Notamacropus eugenii: one gene and its partner. The protein of the gene in region 1 purifies or fractionates together with the protein of each later gene. This does not show direct contact. Links are inferred from orthologs where the notes say so. Each region holds a gene or a part of one and is shown on either strand. Other genes may lie near its edges.

Region 1 (7,776 bases):
TAGTAAATGGTGCTGCAGGATTGTCAGGACAGAGTATGAATAAAAACCTGTGTTTTGGGAATTCAGGAAAAATTAATTTGGGGCTACTTGAGGTCAGTACCGAAGATGACATCAGGGGATCTGCTGGAGAAGAGTTGATGCTTGTGATGACACATCCTAGAATGCTAACATTGGCTTTAAAAAGATTTTAGGGCTGAAACGGCCCCTTTCATTTCTCTGGTCTTGGGAAATCCCAGGGGAGCAAATTCCCTTCACTGCAGCAGGCTAGCACTACCACTTTCTCTGTAACTTCCTGCCTGGAACCCATCCCGGGACACAAAGCCAGTGTGTGATCAGAGGAGGACCTTGAACCTAGGGCTTCCTGGTCCTGCCCCAAAAGGCCTCTCTTCAGAAGGCCTGAATGTATTCAGTTCTCAGCAGTCAGTCCATAAACATTTACAAAGCGCCCACTCATACTGGGCTTTATGTGCAGTGCTAGGTCAAACAAGACAGAAGGCAGGCCTTGCCCTGGAGGGGCTTCTTCTGCTCTGAGGGAGCTGAAGGCCAGAAAGGTGTCCAGGTCCTGACTGGGAGTTCTGGGGGCTCACTTTGGCGCTGTGTGCAGAAACAGTTGTGGTGACGTAGGGTGTCCGATTCTTCTGCAGCAAGTCGATGTAGACCTCGGCGCCATCCCCTCCATGGACACGCAACAAACTCAGCAGCTCATTCACATCGTGGTGAATCCGGAATTCACTCATGTTTCTGGGGCTGGGTCACAAACATCACAAAGTGTTCACCTGAGGGCAAAGCAAAGCATTTCTCTAAAAATGGAGGACCAGCTAAGTAGTTGGAGGGGGGGGGGGGGGGGAGAGAGGGAGACAGGGATGCTATCCAAGCCCTTCTCTTGTCTCCAGGGGATGAAATAAGAGTCTCTCAAGGAGAAACAAACCTAATGGAAAACCTGCATCAAGAGCACGCAGGAGTGGACCAAGAATTGGGATGATGCTCCTTTGTCTCCTTTGATGTCTGCTCTATTCAACTACCTTTTTGAACAGCAACAGCCAGATTAAAAGAATGGTAAAAAAAAAAAAAAAACCGAATGGGTCTTGGAAGGAAGGCAAGGAATAAGCATTTATTGAGTGCTCCACTGGGCTATTATCTCATTGGATCTAGGTGCTGTTACCACTCCCACTTTACAGCTGAGGAAATGGAGGCAAGCAGCAGTGAAGTGACTTGCTCAGGGTCACCTAGCTAGGAGGGGTCTGAGGTAGGATTTGAATTCAAACCTTTCTTACTCCAGGGTTCTCACTTTGAGCACTGTGGCGGGTTTGAAGAGTAAACCATCAATTTGCTAACATCTGTGAAGTACCTACTATGTGCTGAGTGCCAGAGATTCAAAGAAAAGGAAACAACATGGAGCTCCCAATCTGAAGAGACAACACACCAAGAACTTTGTGGAAGCAGGGAGGAGGGCTTCCCACAGCTGTGAGCATTCTAGACTGGGGGGCAGCCAGAAAAAGGTCAGAGAGGCAGGAGGGGCCAAACACAGCCTGCTGTATTTGTGCCTGAAGATGTCTGAGTTGGAGGTGTGGGGGAGAAAGAGTCACTTTGGACTTCTGAAATGGTTCAGGAGCAAGGTGATGAGGAGGTGGGAGTGGGGTGTGGCAGGATCAGACAAAAGGGGTCACAAAGGCAGAGCCACAAGGCTTCAGGCCTAGGAAGAGGGAAAGAGGATAAGTCTGAGTGACAGCCTGTGGGGCAAACCCCACAAATAAGCCAAAGCCTTCAGATGTGCCTCTGTCAAAAGAGGCCCTCTCATCAGCTAACTGCATGAGGATATCTGAGGATATTCCTCAAATACCCTGGCCCCCCACTGTGGGGAAGGTGAAGACAGAGAGATGAGGACACAGAGCAATTCGGAACTGGATGCATAAAGAGAGCAAACAGAAAACATTCAGGGAGTTGTGAAATGGTTGGGAGAAGAAACTCAGGACCTCCCTGTGGGTTTGCCTGGAGGCTGGAAGAGGCCTGGGGTGAGCTCTCAGGAGCTCCCCATCCCTAGGTCTGAGAGGTTCATGCGGACTCCTCGAGGAGAGGCCAGACCCACAGCCAGAGAGCAGCACTCCCTTTTAAGTGAGACTTTTACTGGCACATTCACAGTGGGCCCTCCCTATTGACAAAGACACATTGAGATGGTCAGTGCCTATCAGGCTGCTCCCATCTGAGGCCCCAATTCCTGCAAAGGAGTCAGGGCTTTTCCTTGCGGAAAAGTTTACTCTGGGGGCCTCTAACCCCAGCTTCTCCCTGTTTCCTGGTGGCTGTTCTTGCCAACAACTTTGGGACTCTGAGGGATCTGAGTGGACCCCAAGCCCCCAGGAATCCACAGGGGTTAGGACTAACTCATGCTGGGGAAGGAAGGAGGAGGAAGAGGAGGAGAATGATGGGGGGTGGGGGAGGCTGTTGAGGGTACTGGGAGGAGGTGGAAGGAGAAGGAGAAAGAGGGGCGGGAGCTGTCCAGGGTCCTGGGAAGAGGAAGGAGGGGAGGAAAGAGGAGCAGGAGCTGTCCGGGGTCCTAGAGGAAGAGGAAGGGAGGCAGAGAGGAGGGGGAGGGGCGCAGGAGGCGCTGTTCGGGCTGCAGTCTGCGGGGAGGAGGATGGGTCCGGTGGGGGGGCAGGAGGGGGAGGGGAGCTCTATCTGGGGGCGGGAGGGGAAAGAGAGCTCGCAGCGCGGGAGGGGAAGGGGGCCCTCCTGGTCCCGCCAGCCCGTTCAGTCCCAGGCACGGATGAGAACCGGAAGTTGTTTGGCTCGTACGTACGCGCTGGGGGGCCCTGGGGGCGCTGCAGCAGGAACGGGGAGAAGGAGCTCCGACCCTGATCGCCCCTTGGCAGACTCCTCTCCTTCCTTACTCACCCTGGATCCCGTTACTGTCCGGTCCCTGCCGACTCCCGCCTCGGCTCAGACATGACCCGGAAGTAGTTCCTGAGCAGGAAGTGACGCCACGAGTCTTTTCCCTCCAGCTTCCAGGCTCTGGCTGGGCGGTGGGGGGGTGCTGAGGAGAGGGAAATGGAGCTGGCCCCCCTGGCATCCCTCCCCTCTCCATGGCTGCTGGCTTGCCTGGGTCTAGGCTCAGCCAGGGGGACCCATTCTGCTGCCCGCCCCCCGCAGCTGCATGTGCTTTGCCACCTGCCACGGGGGTGACCCCAGCCTGTGCCAGGACACCTGCTGCTCGAGGTCACGTGGGTTCTGGGCGGGACCTAGAATGAGAGCTAGGCTGAGGGGCGGGCTATGGGGCGGGGCCTGGGGCGATACGTAGGCAGAGGGGTGGAGCCTTGGAGGAGACCGAGGGAGGGGTAGGTCTTGGGGGGAGACCGAGGCGGAGAGGTGGGGTCTGCGGTGAAAGACAGGCTGAGAGGCGGGGCTTGCGGCCAGACTGCGGTGGGGAGGCGGGGTCTGCGGCCAAAGCGAGGCAGAGAGGCGGGGTCTGCAGGGGGTGGGGAGGGTGTGGGAGGTAAGAAAAAGGTTCGTCGTAGAAAAAGGTTCGTCATCGTCGCGGTGATCGGGGCTCGGTCCATATCTCTGGTCGTGCCCTCCTCGGCCCTCTGCTCTCCAGGATGGGGACCCTACGAGACACCCTCAGCACCCGAAGGTGCTGTAGCCGCCCTTCCCCGGGATAGGGAAGCCGCAACCGACGGAAGAGCCCGGCCAGCGGAACCGGGCTCTGGCGTCGGCTGCGGAGCGGGTCCGCCGAGGGTCCTCTGGAGCCGATGGGCGGTGGATGGGCGGCCGATGAGCCGATGGGCCGGCAAGCGGGCGACCCCTCGAAGGGTCCTAGCGAGCCGCTTTTTCCCCGCAGGGTGCCCGCCTACTGCTGCCACATCGGGGGCTGCGATCGGGTGTTCGACTCCCTGCCGGGCTACGTGCGTCACTACCAGACGCTGCACCAGAATGCGTGCTCCTTCTGCCGCCGCTCGTTCCCCTCGGACCAGCTGCTGGACATCCACCTCCTGGAGCGCCATGGCACCGTGCCGTCTTCGCCCACTCGGGCTGCGGCCGCGCGCGAGCGCCGCCCCATCCCCTTCTACTACCAGTGCCCGGTGTGGGGCTGCACCGACAAGTTCATGAGTCCCGAGGAGCAGACGGACCATCTGATCCGCGTCCACCACTACCCGGCCCATCTCTGGTTTGATTCTCCTCAGGACAACCAGAGGTAGAGGGGAAGGGCGGGGGCGAGCTATCATTATTGGGGGGAGAGCGAAAGACAAGAGGGATGGGTAGGCAGGGGGCCGGAGAAAGTGGGAAGGGAGGGGCGGGCGGGGGTGCGGGCTTTGCAGAGCACGGGAGGGGAGGGAGACGGTCTATCATTATGGGCGAGGAATGGGAATGTGGGAATGGGGGTGAGTGGAGAGCGGGGAGAGGCGGGAGGTGGTCGATCATTACGGGCAATGGATGCGGACGGGGGTGGGTGGAGAACGGCTAGAGGAGGGAGGTGGTCCATCATTATGGGCGATGAATGGAGCTGGGGATGGTGGGAGAGCGGAGAGCGGAGAGAGGAGGGAGATGGTTGATCACTATGGGGAATGGATGGGGATGGGGGTGGAGGCAGAGCGGGGAGAGGAGGGAGATGGTCGATCATTATTGGGGATGGATGAGGATAGGGGTGGGGGCAGAGATGGGAGAGAAGGGAGGTGGTCGATCATCATGGGGGATGGAGAGAGCGAGAAGAGGAGGAGGGAGGCAGATCATTATGGGGGATAAATGGTAGTGGGGGGGGGGAAGCGAGGAGGGGAGGGGGAAGGGGCGGAGGCCGGGGAGAGCGAGGGGGGGCGGGGGAGAGTGGAGCAGAGGGGAGGGGGAGGGAGAAGGATGGAGGTGGGGGCGGGGCCAAGCATCGCTGGAGAGGGATGGGGTGGGGGCGGGGAGGGGCGGTGGACATCCGGGCCTGAGCATCTACCAGAGGACGCCAGAGGGGCGTCATCGGTGAAGGGGGGGCTGCAGGGCTCTCACGCCCCAGTCATTCTCCTCTGCAGTTCCGGCCAGCAGGGCTCTGCATCCTCTGCATCGGCCTCTGTGGGGTCCGCCTCCGAGGCTTGTGCTAAGGAATCGGCCTCTGCGTCCCTGGCCTGTGCATCGGCTTCTGTAGCCTCGGCTGCCCAGGGCTCTGGGCATGGAGGAGTTCTCGGAGGGGATGACGCCCAGGACCCGGAGGAGGCCATGGAGGAGACTGTGGAGGATCCTGAGGAGGAAGAGGAGCCCGTGGACGACGTTGAAGACGACGCCGACGATGAGGAGCCCATGGGGGAGGATATGGGGGAGGACGAGGAGGACGAAGATCCTCCTGAGTCCGAGGCAGGCAGTGACCCCGAGCCTTCTGAGGATGACATCTCCAGCCTCAGGTCAGGAGACGAGGACGTTGGCCCTTTCTCTGCCCCCTCCTGCCCCTCCGTGTGTGTGTCTCTCTCTTTCCGTCAGTCTCACTCACACTATCTCCACCCAACGAGCACATTCAGCACGTAGGCTGCGGACCCCGACCCCAGTGAGCAGAGCCTGCCTTCCCCTCCCATTGGGAGGCAGTGCAATGCCTAGCTGGGGAAAGAGAGGGAGCAATACCTGACTGACTTATCAGGCCAGCCAACGCTTCACGATTCACTGTGGTGTTTGGGACCTGGCAAGAAGCCTTCTCAAATCACCGTTAAACACACACAAAACATACATCCTATTGAAATACACTCAGCAAAAAAGGTTAAACATTATAGCACACACACCCCAGGAATGAGGAAGGGCCACTGGGGGCTCCAAGGGATAGAACTTGGGAGGCAGCTTCTTCTGACCCTTCCACAAACTCTGCAGCCCATTTGTCCTCCAGAACTACTCGGAGGAGCTCACTCTTCTAGAGACTCAGAAGGTGGGAGTAGGGAACAGCTCAGTCAGGTGTGTGTTTGCATGGGAGCCAGGAGAAACTGGAGGGTTGGGGGCTTCAGTCCTGTGGACTTCAGGGTGAATAATTAATCAACAATCACCGAAGCATCTACAGAGCCCTTGAAGGCTGGCCAAGCTCCTTACATACATTCTCAATAGATCCTTAAACAACACTAAGAGGGAGGTGCAGTTATTATCCTCATTTTACTGAAAATAAAGGCAAACTGAGGCAGACAGAGAAGTGACTTGCCTGAGCTCACACAGCTAGTAAGAATCTGAGACATGATTCCCGACCCATGCTGAACCTCTCAAGGCTAACACTTTCTGGGTGAACTGGGAACCCCAGGATCTGAGCCAGGGCTACACTTGAATTTCAGCAAAGCATTTTCCAGTCTTCCTCATGCATCCTTGTGGAATGGGTCCTACCTGAGACTCTTCCTAACTCCCTCAACCTCTGGGTTCCTGTTGTTTCCCCTGCTTGGGGGCTGGCTCATTAACAGCAGGGCACTGAAGAGAGTGATGAGCCTGGAGTCTGGGAGACAGAAACTCACTGTCCAGTTAAGTTCTGTGTGAGCCCAAGAGGAAGCTCCTGTACCTGTCGGGAGGTCTCTAGTGGGGTGGCCCAGGTATCTGTTCCTGGCCTGATGCCATTTGACAACTCTGCTACTGATTTGAATGGTGGTAGGATGATCCCCAGTGACCTTGACATGCCACAGGGATAGCTGATGTCCATTAGGGACAGAGTTCAAGGACTTCTCACTGGGCGAAGTAAGGGCAGAATTTGGGGAAGCAAAGGGAAGGATGGGAGATGCTGATAGGATTTTCAAGCATAGGATGGTGAAGATGACCCGATTTGGGGAAAGGGTGACCCAGGGGAGGCTGGAAACCAGGAGCTCCCTGCTTATAAGGGTCAAGAGGAGGAGGAAGGGAAAAAGGGAGATGACTAGTTCTGGGGAAATGGGGGTGGTGGCTCAGCTAGGGGACCTGCTGGAAGAGACTGTCATCTTAGGGGATGAAGAAAAGCTTGGATCCCTCCTGAAGAGAGTATCTAGGGGTTGAAAGGGAGGAGCGGGACAATGTCTCAGAGGAAGGGGAGTTGGAAGCTGAGAGGGTTTGGGGAGCTACGGAGGCAGCAGACGCATCCCCCAAGAGCAGATGGTGAAAAAGTGCTCGAAGCCCCTCCCCAAGCCTGCTTCTGGGCATCAGGTCCCTCTACAGCCCAGCCCTTGGCCTCTCCACCATTTGTGGTGGTGGGGCCCAGGACCTCAGCAAGCCCCCAGTAAAGCCAGAGTAGAGGGGCTCACCTGGAGTATGCTTTCCATTCCAGAGGCCCTACAATTGCTTTTGGCCCCGGGGCAGCTGGAGGATTCGATGATAGCGCAGAGGAGAGTAATGAAGATCACTGAGCACCTACAGAGTCGGGCTGCTCCCTGGGGTCATGAAGCAGGACCCCTTCCCTCCCCCACCCCCACCCCCCCAGAAGCATGTTTTCTGGGCTTTAGAGCAGCCCCTGAGGTGCACCACCACACAGCGATCGGCCTGGGGGCGCTGCTTCCTTGGTGAGCCCCTGCTCAAATCAGGGGCCAGCCAAGCACCTCTTGGACCAGGCTGAGTCCAACCCAGGCCTTTTCCCCTCTCCCTCCTTGCTCACTCCTCCTGCTGGAGGACCCCTCGTCTGTCTTTGTGTTTGTCTTGTTGTCTGTGAAGCACAGGCCCCTGGTGTGCTCGCCAGGAATCCCAGAAGGACACTCAAGACTGTTGGCCCATGCAGCCATGACTGCTCTGGACCATCTTGAGGTATCTTCTAGGGTCTGCCCCCTACCCTGTGAACCTAAATAAAGTCTGTAAGCAACCCCACCATGGCTGGGCTCCATTTGTACA
Region 2 (7,191 bases), on another chromosome or scaffold:
CTCAACCATATCCATCTAGTTTTAGGCAAGACCACAATAGTCAGTCAGTAAGAAAGCAGCACCAGAAGGATACCGAGCAGGATGTTTGATCACTAAATCACAGAAGGGACTTTCTTTCCATAAGTGGATGCCTGTGCAGTGATAGCTTTTAGGTAAACTTGTGATGTAGAGAGGCTTATTATAATTATCCTACATTAATAACCCCCCCGGGGGGTTTTCTGTATGCATTATGGGTAGCCACATGTGCAATTCCACCAAGGCCAGGACCTCTCCCCATATTAGTAAATCCCTCCTATGTTTTAATATTCATATATTCCAATATGCTAATAACACCATTTGCTCTATAAAAATTCCTGTCTTGCTTTGCTAAGCTGTTAGCTCCTCTAAGGAGCCTAGCCAGTTTTCTGAGATTGTTATCATCAATAGATGCCTTTGCTTGGGTTGGAAATGGTCTTTGTGAATTCTTTCAAGACAACCCTGCAACACACCATGACACCCCAACAATCCTGCTGAGTTATGTGGAGTGATTTGAGTGTAAAGTCAACATTACAAATCTGGGAGACCAGAAAAATAATGCCTTACAAAAAAATAGGAAATTTGGAAGAGGGGTACTTTTTTTTTTGCTGAAGGGTGGGGAGGGTGGATAATAAATTGTTTTAGATATGTCGAATTTAAGAAGTCTCTAGAAATTCAGTTTCAAATGTCTAAAAGGCAGTTTGGTGATGGTGAAATCAGGGGAGAAACTGGGACTGGATATATTGAACTGGGAATTATGATCACAAGTGGTAAACCCAGAACTTCAGAGAGGTTAGAAAGTGTGATGTCAATTATAATCCAGCAGAGAAGATTAAATCAGAAGATTAAAAAATAGTAGTAAGAATGGCAAAAGAACCAAGGAATGGAGCAGTATCACAAATCCCCTCAGTGATGGTAAGGGACTTAGGCTATCTCCACTAGGATCTAGGAATCAAGGGTGGGGAACCTTTGGCCTAAAAAAAGCATTTGTTGGTACTGTACTCAGTCAAAAGGCTGCACCCAAGAACCTTGAAGGCCACATGTGGCCTCCAGGCTGAAGGTTCCCCACCCCGAAGGTTCCTCACCCCTGATTCTAAGTCATTTGCATAGAGATGGAAATTGAAATCAAGGGAGCTGATGAGATCACCAAAAATGAGGACACAGAGAGAAGAGAGCGAACTTAACTAGTTGGAGGGTAGGATATGAATGATGTCAGCAAAGGAGCATGAGAAGGAGCAGTTAGACTAGTAAAAGCAAAAGGAACGAAGCAAGCAAACCCAAGAGAAGAAAGTATTCAGGAGTGTAAAATGCTGTAAAGAGCTTATGATGAATGAGGATATGAAAAGACCACAAAATATCACGGGTAATCTTGAAGAGAACAGTGTCACTTGGGTGATGAGGCTGTAAGACTTAAAGGGTTTGAGAATTGAGAAAAGAAATGGAGGCAAAGAGTATAAACAGCTTTTTCTAGAAGTTGGCCTGTAAATGGGAAGAGTCAGATTCAGAGAATGAAAGGATGGGAGAGTCTTTCAAGGGCATTTTTCTTTTCAAACGACGGGAGTCCGGAGCATATTTGGAAAATGCTGAAGTGGGAAGTGCAATACAAGAAAGGGAAATAGGAATAATGCAGGTTAAGGGAAGTCAATTACATCTGGTGGACAGTATTTATTAATGGTCCACTGAGTTTGAGGTTCTGTGCTCCAGGCACAGAAAGGGAGAAACAGTCCCTGCTTTCAAGAAACTCAGTCTAACTGGGTTGATTGTGGTCCTTGGCTCTGGAAGAGGACCAAAATGACATCACCACATAAACTCAACTTCCAACGTCTGAGCGGGCTGATCAGACCACTGCCGAGCTTGGAATGCTCTACCACAGGTTGAGCACAGACAGTCGGTGGGAATATGTGGGGTGGATACTCTATATTTGTGCCTTCTATGTTTACTTTGTAATGTCTCAATCTGGGCCCTGTGGTGAGCAGTCCTGCGCCAGCGTCTCCCATGACAACACGCAAACAACCGCATAGAAATAAGTTACAATTAGGATACATTGTAAATAATCAGGATACATTGTAAAAGATCATCACCTCTGCAAGGACTGGACCGGCACCTTTTGCTTCGCGAGCAGAGACTGAGGAAACTACCATTTGCATAAGCTATTATTTCTTTCATAGCAAACACTTCAGTCATCTCTGCCTAAGGAATTTCAATCTCATCACGTGAAGTCACGCAAACTCAAGCCCTGCCGCAACTTTTTCTTCTTTTCATCGGGCTCACGTTCATCCAGACGCAGGCCCTTTTCCCCCAGGTTCCCACCTACACACCCAGACGCTCCCGGGCCTTTCACTTTGCTCACCCTCCAGTGCACAGACACTACGTGGGTTCCCGTGGCCCACGCCACACTCAGTGCGTGGACACACGACCCGGCCCGACCCGACGCCACGAGAGTTCCTCCCAGCACCCCCGCGCTGGACCGCGTTTGGATCCGCTTTAGAGCAAACAGTGGGAGGAGGCCGAGGAAGGGAGCGCGACCCCCGGGGTCCCAGACCAGGGAGGGATAACGGACCCACGCACATTCCGGGCGCCAGGAGCGCGACGCCGACGTGGGGAAACGGGACGACGCGCGCGACCGCGTACGTAGAAGCCGTGGAGGCTCCCCTCGAAGGCGAGGCGTCGACCGACTCGGGGCTGTCGGGGAAGCGGTCCGGGAAAAGGAGGGTTATTCTCAAGCTTCCAACGGAACCACCCCTTTCGTTGGGCCCCGCGTCTGCCTGCGAACTGGAGAGGAGGAGAAGGGACAGGGACGGGAACTCACCGTCCATGGTCTCCCTCACCGCGTTCAGGTTGGCCGCGGCGGCCGCCGCAGCCGCAGCGCCGCTATTACTCCCTGCCATGGCGACTGCCCGCCAAGGCAGGGGAAAAGCGGGAGAACCGTTTGACCCGGAACAGGAGGTAGTGTCCTGTTCTCCCGGGCAATCAGGCTGCGCGTCGTCTCCTCACGCCGGAGGGAGGCTCCGCCCCTCGCGCTGTGTGTCTGCCGCCGTGAGGCGCTCCATAAAGTTGCGTTCGTTTGAATCCCGGGGCCTCGTTACTATGGGGGCGTGAAGCGCGAAGTTTCCATTCGAATTTCCTACGCGATGGCCGTCTGATTGGCCAGTTCGAGGACGGCTCGCAGCCACGATTGGCTGAGCTCCCGGAAGCCCCGAGCCCTGGTTGGTCCTCGGCATCTCGGAATCTGGGAGTTAAAGAGTAGCTGGCTGCTGCTGCCGCGGCAGCTGCTGGACCCCCGGGAGGACTACCTGGATTCTCCATCTCTGCAGCTCTCGCACCGTGAGAATCGTGGCTTCTCACCCACGGCTTAGAGGTACGTGTTCTGGAGGGGCTCCCCCTTCAACCCCCTCATTGTATCGGGATTGCTTTTTTCCCGGGTTCCTTGCTGGCCAGTCCTCCCGCGCCGAGCGTGCCCTAGGAGAATGGGGGAGAACGGGGATAGCTCTGAACTTCCTCTTTCCGGCAGACCGAGGCTGCCTTTGTGGAACTTCTGGGAAGGCACGTTTCACCCTACTGGCACCCCTCCTCTGTCTCGGGATGGAGGCCACCTTGTGTCCTGTCCTGGAAACGTTAGACCCCTTGCCCACCTAGGGAACGTGAGCCTGTAACTGGCCCAGACCTGAGCAAGCGTATTGTTTTGGAGTAATGGCATAGACCTTAAAAAGAAGGTTGGATGAGCCGAGGCTGTGTAGGTGAATGGAGAGGGTGTGTGCTTTCCCTCTCTTATTAATGCCCAGTTTGTCCTCTGTAAGTCTTGTTTTGTACGTAGGTTGCATGTGTTCACCCACCTTAGACTGTGAGCTCCTTCAGAGCAGGGGCCCTCTTCTGCCCTGTTTTGTGCCCCCATGGCTTAGCACGGCTCCTGAGTAATTGACTAGCTGAGTTTGCTGAAATACCACAGAGTTCTTGTAGATCGAGGTAAGCTGTTAGAGAGAAGTTTAAGTTTGTTGATCAGGCATGTGGCAAAGTTCCTCAGTGGGGTTGTGGGGGGTGGGGGAGAAGGTTACTTTGTTTCCACTCTAAATTTTTTCACAAGATTTTACACCATCCTCTATTGTTGGAAGCCACAATTTTATTCTTAACATTGTAGTCATTTCTTCTTGTTTTGTAAAGGATTGTCATGAATGCTATGGTCAGATTTCAATAAGGGAAAACTGATGATCCTGTCTGTGATTTTCTTTCAGTTTTATGCTATGGGAGATGTCAAAGAAGCTAAAATGCAAATAACACCGGAAACTCCGGGAAAGATCACTGTCCTAAATCCTTTTGAAAGTCCAAGTGATTATTCCAGCCTGCAAGAACAAATCGTCTCCAGTCCTTCAGCATTTAAATCTACAAAATCTTCATCCGTAAGAATTGAATCATATGACTTATAAAAATATATTCAAATAAAAACATTTCCTCACTACAGGTAACAGTGTGACACTTAGAGAACATGTTTGTTAATAGCAATAATAGCAGTGCCTGACTAATAGTGCTTTATGGCTATAAGCACTTGGTTGGCTGCATGTTATCTCCATTTTAAAGATGAGTTCATAGACTTGCCAGCAGTCATCATGTTTAGGAAGTGCCAAAGCTAAGATTAATGCTTAGGTCTGCTTTCAGAGTCAGTGCACATCTCAGTCTCCATAGTTGGTTTCCTTGTTGAAGTTTGTGAAAAATATGAAGTCATTTAAGCTTCCTAAGTTTCTTCAGTTTTAGCCCAAAGTAGTATTCAGTAAAGCCTTGTGGATGGCCTAAAGAAAAGCAAAAATTTCTCTGAGTTCATCTTTTTAACTTGACACATTTTATCAGGAAGTTCTAACATCACAGATTCCATGGTGATAATGCATTTAATTAAAATAGATTGGGATTATAACTTTTTACTGAATTTCTAGGAAGGTTCTCTGATGTCGTCTTACTATGAAGGTAACTTTAGATTCTTAATCATACTAACAGCATAAATTTGGCAGGTTGTACTTAGGTAGAAAATTTTTAAGACTAGTTCAGTGCTTTTCAGGATCCATTATAGACAAACTTATCAACAAGAGGTTGGGTGTTAAACAATTCATTATTTGTCCATGGTGACCCATGAAACAGAAGATTCATTGGATCTCTGATCACACTGTAGACATTCCTTTCAGAAACCTGCCTTGTAACTCATATATGTGCCCTCATCCTGGAAGATTGGACTATGTCCTCCTATAAATTTTAATGAGTGCCCTATCCAAAGAGATGGGATTTTTTTCTACATTTCTAGAGAGGGGTCCATGCAGTGAAAGACAAAGGCTATCTTTCATATATGGCTGACAGCAACATAGTGTGGGTTACATGTTGGAGTTGGAATCTGGAAAACCTGAGCTCAAAATCTGCCTATGACACCTCTTCACTTTTTGACCATAGTTAAGTCGCTTAACCTCAATGAATTTCATTTTCCTTTTGCCTCATGAAGTTGTTGTGAGACTTGAAATAATCTATGTAAATTGCATTGCAAACTTTAAAGCACTCTATGAATGTCACCAATTTGGTGAGGCAACATGGTGTAGGGGATGGAGTATTTGACTTGGACTTAGAAAAACATAGGTTTACATACTGCCCCTTCACATTTAATGGCCATGTGTATGTTCCTGGGCAAGTCAGAGTGTCCTTAGATTTGTTTTTTGTGCTTTAAAATGGGGTTAATAATACACGTAACAATTGCCTCGCCTCATCCTGAGCTCTGACTTGGTAACGTATGTAAACTACTTTGTGAACTTTAAAGTACCATACAAATTTTAGTGGTTATTGATATCATCGTTTCTCTCTTTTGCTACATGATTTCCTGTGATTCCTTTCACTGGCATGCTTTATACCTCTTCTTTCATGCAGTTCTGCTTTGTTCATGTGTTTTATTGAACTCCGTTTTGCAAGTAAGGAAACTGAGGCATACAGAGGAGTTATCAGATTTGTTCAAAGTTATATAACTAATGTGGGCAGCTAGGTGGCCTAAAGTCAGGAGGATCTGAATTCAGATCCGGTATCAGGCACTTACTCTCAGTGTGTCCCTGGGCTGGTCACTTAACCCTGCTTGCTTCAGTTTCCTCACATGTAAAATGAACCGGAGAAGGAAATAGCAAACTTCTTGTCTTTGCCAAGAAAACCCCAAATGGGGTTGCAGAGAGTCAGATATGACTGACAACTAAAAAAGACTGACAGACAACATATCACTAACGTAACATGGCAGGGATTTGAATGTAGGTCTTCTGATTCCCAATTTCAGGGGTCTTTTCATTACATCCACAATTTTCCCTTAGCATATTTCTTTGTTGGGAAAAGTCAGACCATAGCAAGCACTTACGTTCTTATTTACTGACTGGTTGTTATTAATTTATTCAAAATTCGTCCCTATGGAGTGTCTTGATTATTTAAAATAGAAATTAGTAAATTTGTCCATATTACCTTTTGTTTTAGTAGTTTTTATTCTAATTTTGTAAAGGCAGAATATCATAGTAGATATTAAAGAAGTTTAGGGAGATGTGGGTTCAAGTCCTGCATGTAGCATTACTAGCTGTGGGCCAATATTTTAACCTCTCAGTGCCCCAGGCAACTTTCTAAGACTAATTCCTGATCAATTGCTCATCTAGGTTGATGGAGAGAGTTTCTATACCAGGCTTCCCTATTCTGATCAAATCATAGCTCTTGCCCTGCTTCTCCTACCCTTTTGACTCCCTCCACCCACCCCAATGTTAATGTGTCACTAGCTTTAGAGAACATTGTGTTAAATGTTGGCTGCTCCTAGTCTTCCTGAAGGTGACTTTTATTAGTTTTTTGATAGAATAGTAAACATTGTGCAGCTCACCGTTTTATTCATAAATGTTCGTTTCTTTTTTTTGTTAAGACTCCAGGGAAATTTAGATGGTCTATTGATCAACTTGCTGTCATAAATCCTGTGGAAATAGATCCAGAAGACGTTCATCGTCAAGCTATATATTTAAGTCATTCTAGGTAAGTTTTTGTATACTTGCCCTGAAGTGTAATAACCTGCTCTTGAAAAGTAGTAGAAAATGAAACCTTTAAATTGATATAAAGGCAGCAAGGTGGAGTAGTTTGTGCAGATTCACCATGCCAGATAGAGATGTATTACAAGAATGGTTCACTTTCAGAGAGTATAGA

Evidence for each region.
Region 2: the proteins of TUBGCP2 (region 1) and MZT1 purify together in Homo sapiens (affinity purification with mass spectrometry; 4 studies listed by BioGRID and IntAct, counting the BioPlex papers as one, with this or other methods). This does not show direct contact. The link is inferred for Notamacropus eugenii from reciprocal best matches to the Homo sapiens genes TUBGCP2 and MZT1.

What each region holds. Positions count from the first base shown.
Region 1 is NC_092872.1:292,086,031-292,093,806, forward strand, and holds the start of TUBGCP2 (gamma-tubulin complex component 2), read right to left. Parts: upstream 3,007-7,776; 5' UTR 2,890-3,006; exon of another isoform or gene 2,795-2,889; intron 777-2,794; 5' UTR 738-776; coding exon 588-737; intron 1-587. Other genes in the region: ZNF511 (zinc finger protein 511), read left to right, coding at 3,149-3,210, 3,833-4,186, 5,007-5,372, 7,223-7,301. UniProt on the Homo sapiens protein: Component of the gamma-tubulin ring complex (gTuRC) which mediates microtubule nucleation.
Region 2 is NC_092877.1:265,287,077-265,294,267, reverse strand, and holds the start of MZT1 (mitotic-spindle organizing protein 1), read right to left. Parts: upstream 3,013-7,191; 5' UTR 2,904-3,012; coding exon 2,825-2,903; intron 1-2,824. Other genes in the region: BORA (protein aurora borealis), read left to right, coding at 4,254-4,409, 6,917-7,023. UniProt on the Homo sapiens protein: Required for the recruitment and the assembly of the gamma-tubulin ring complex (gTuRC) at the centrosome.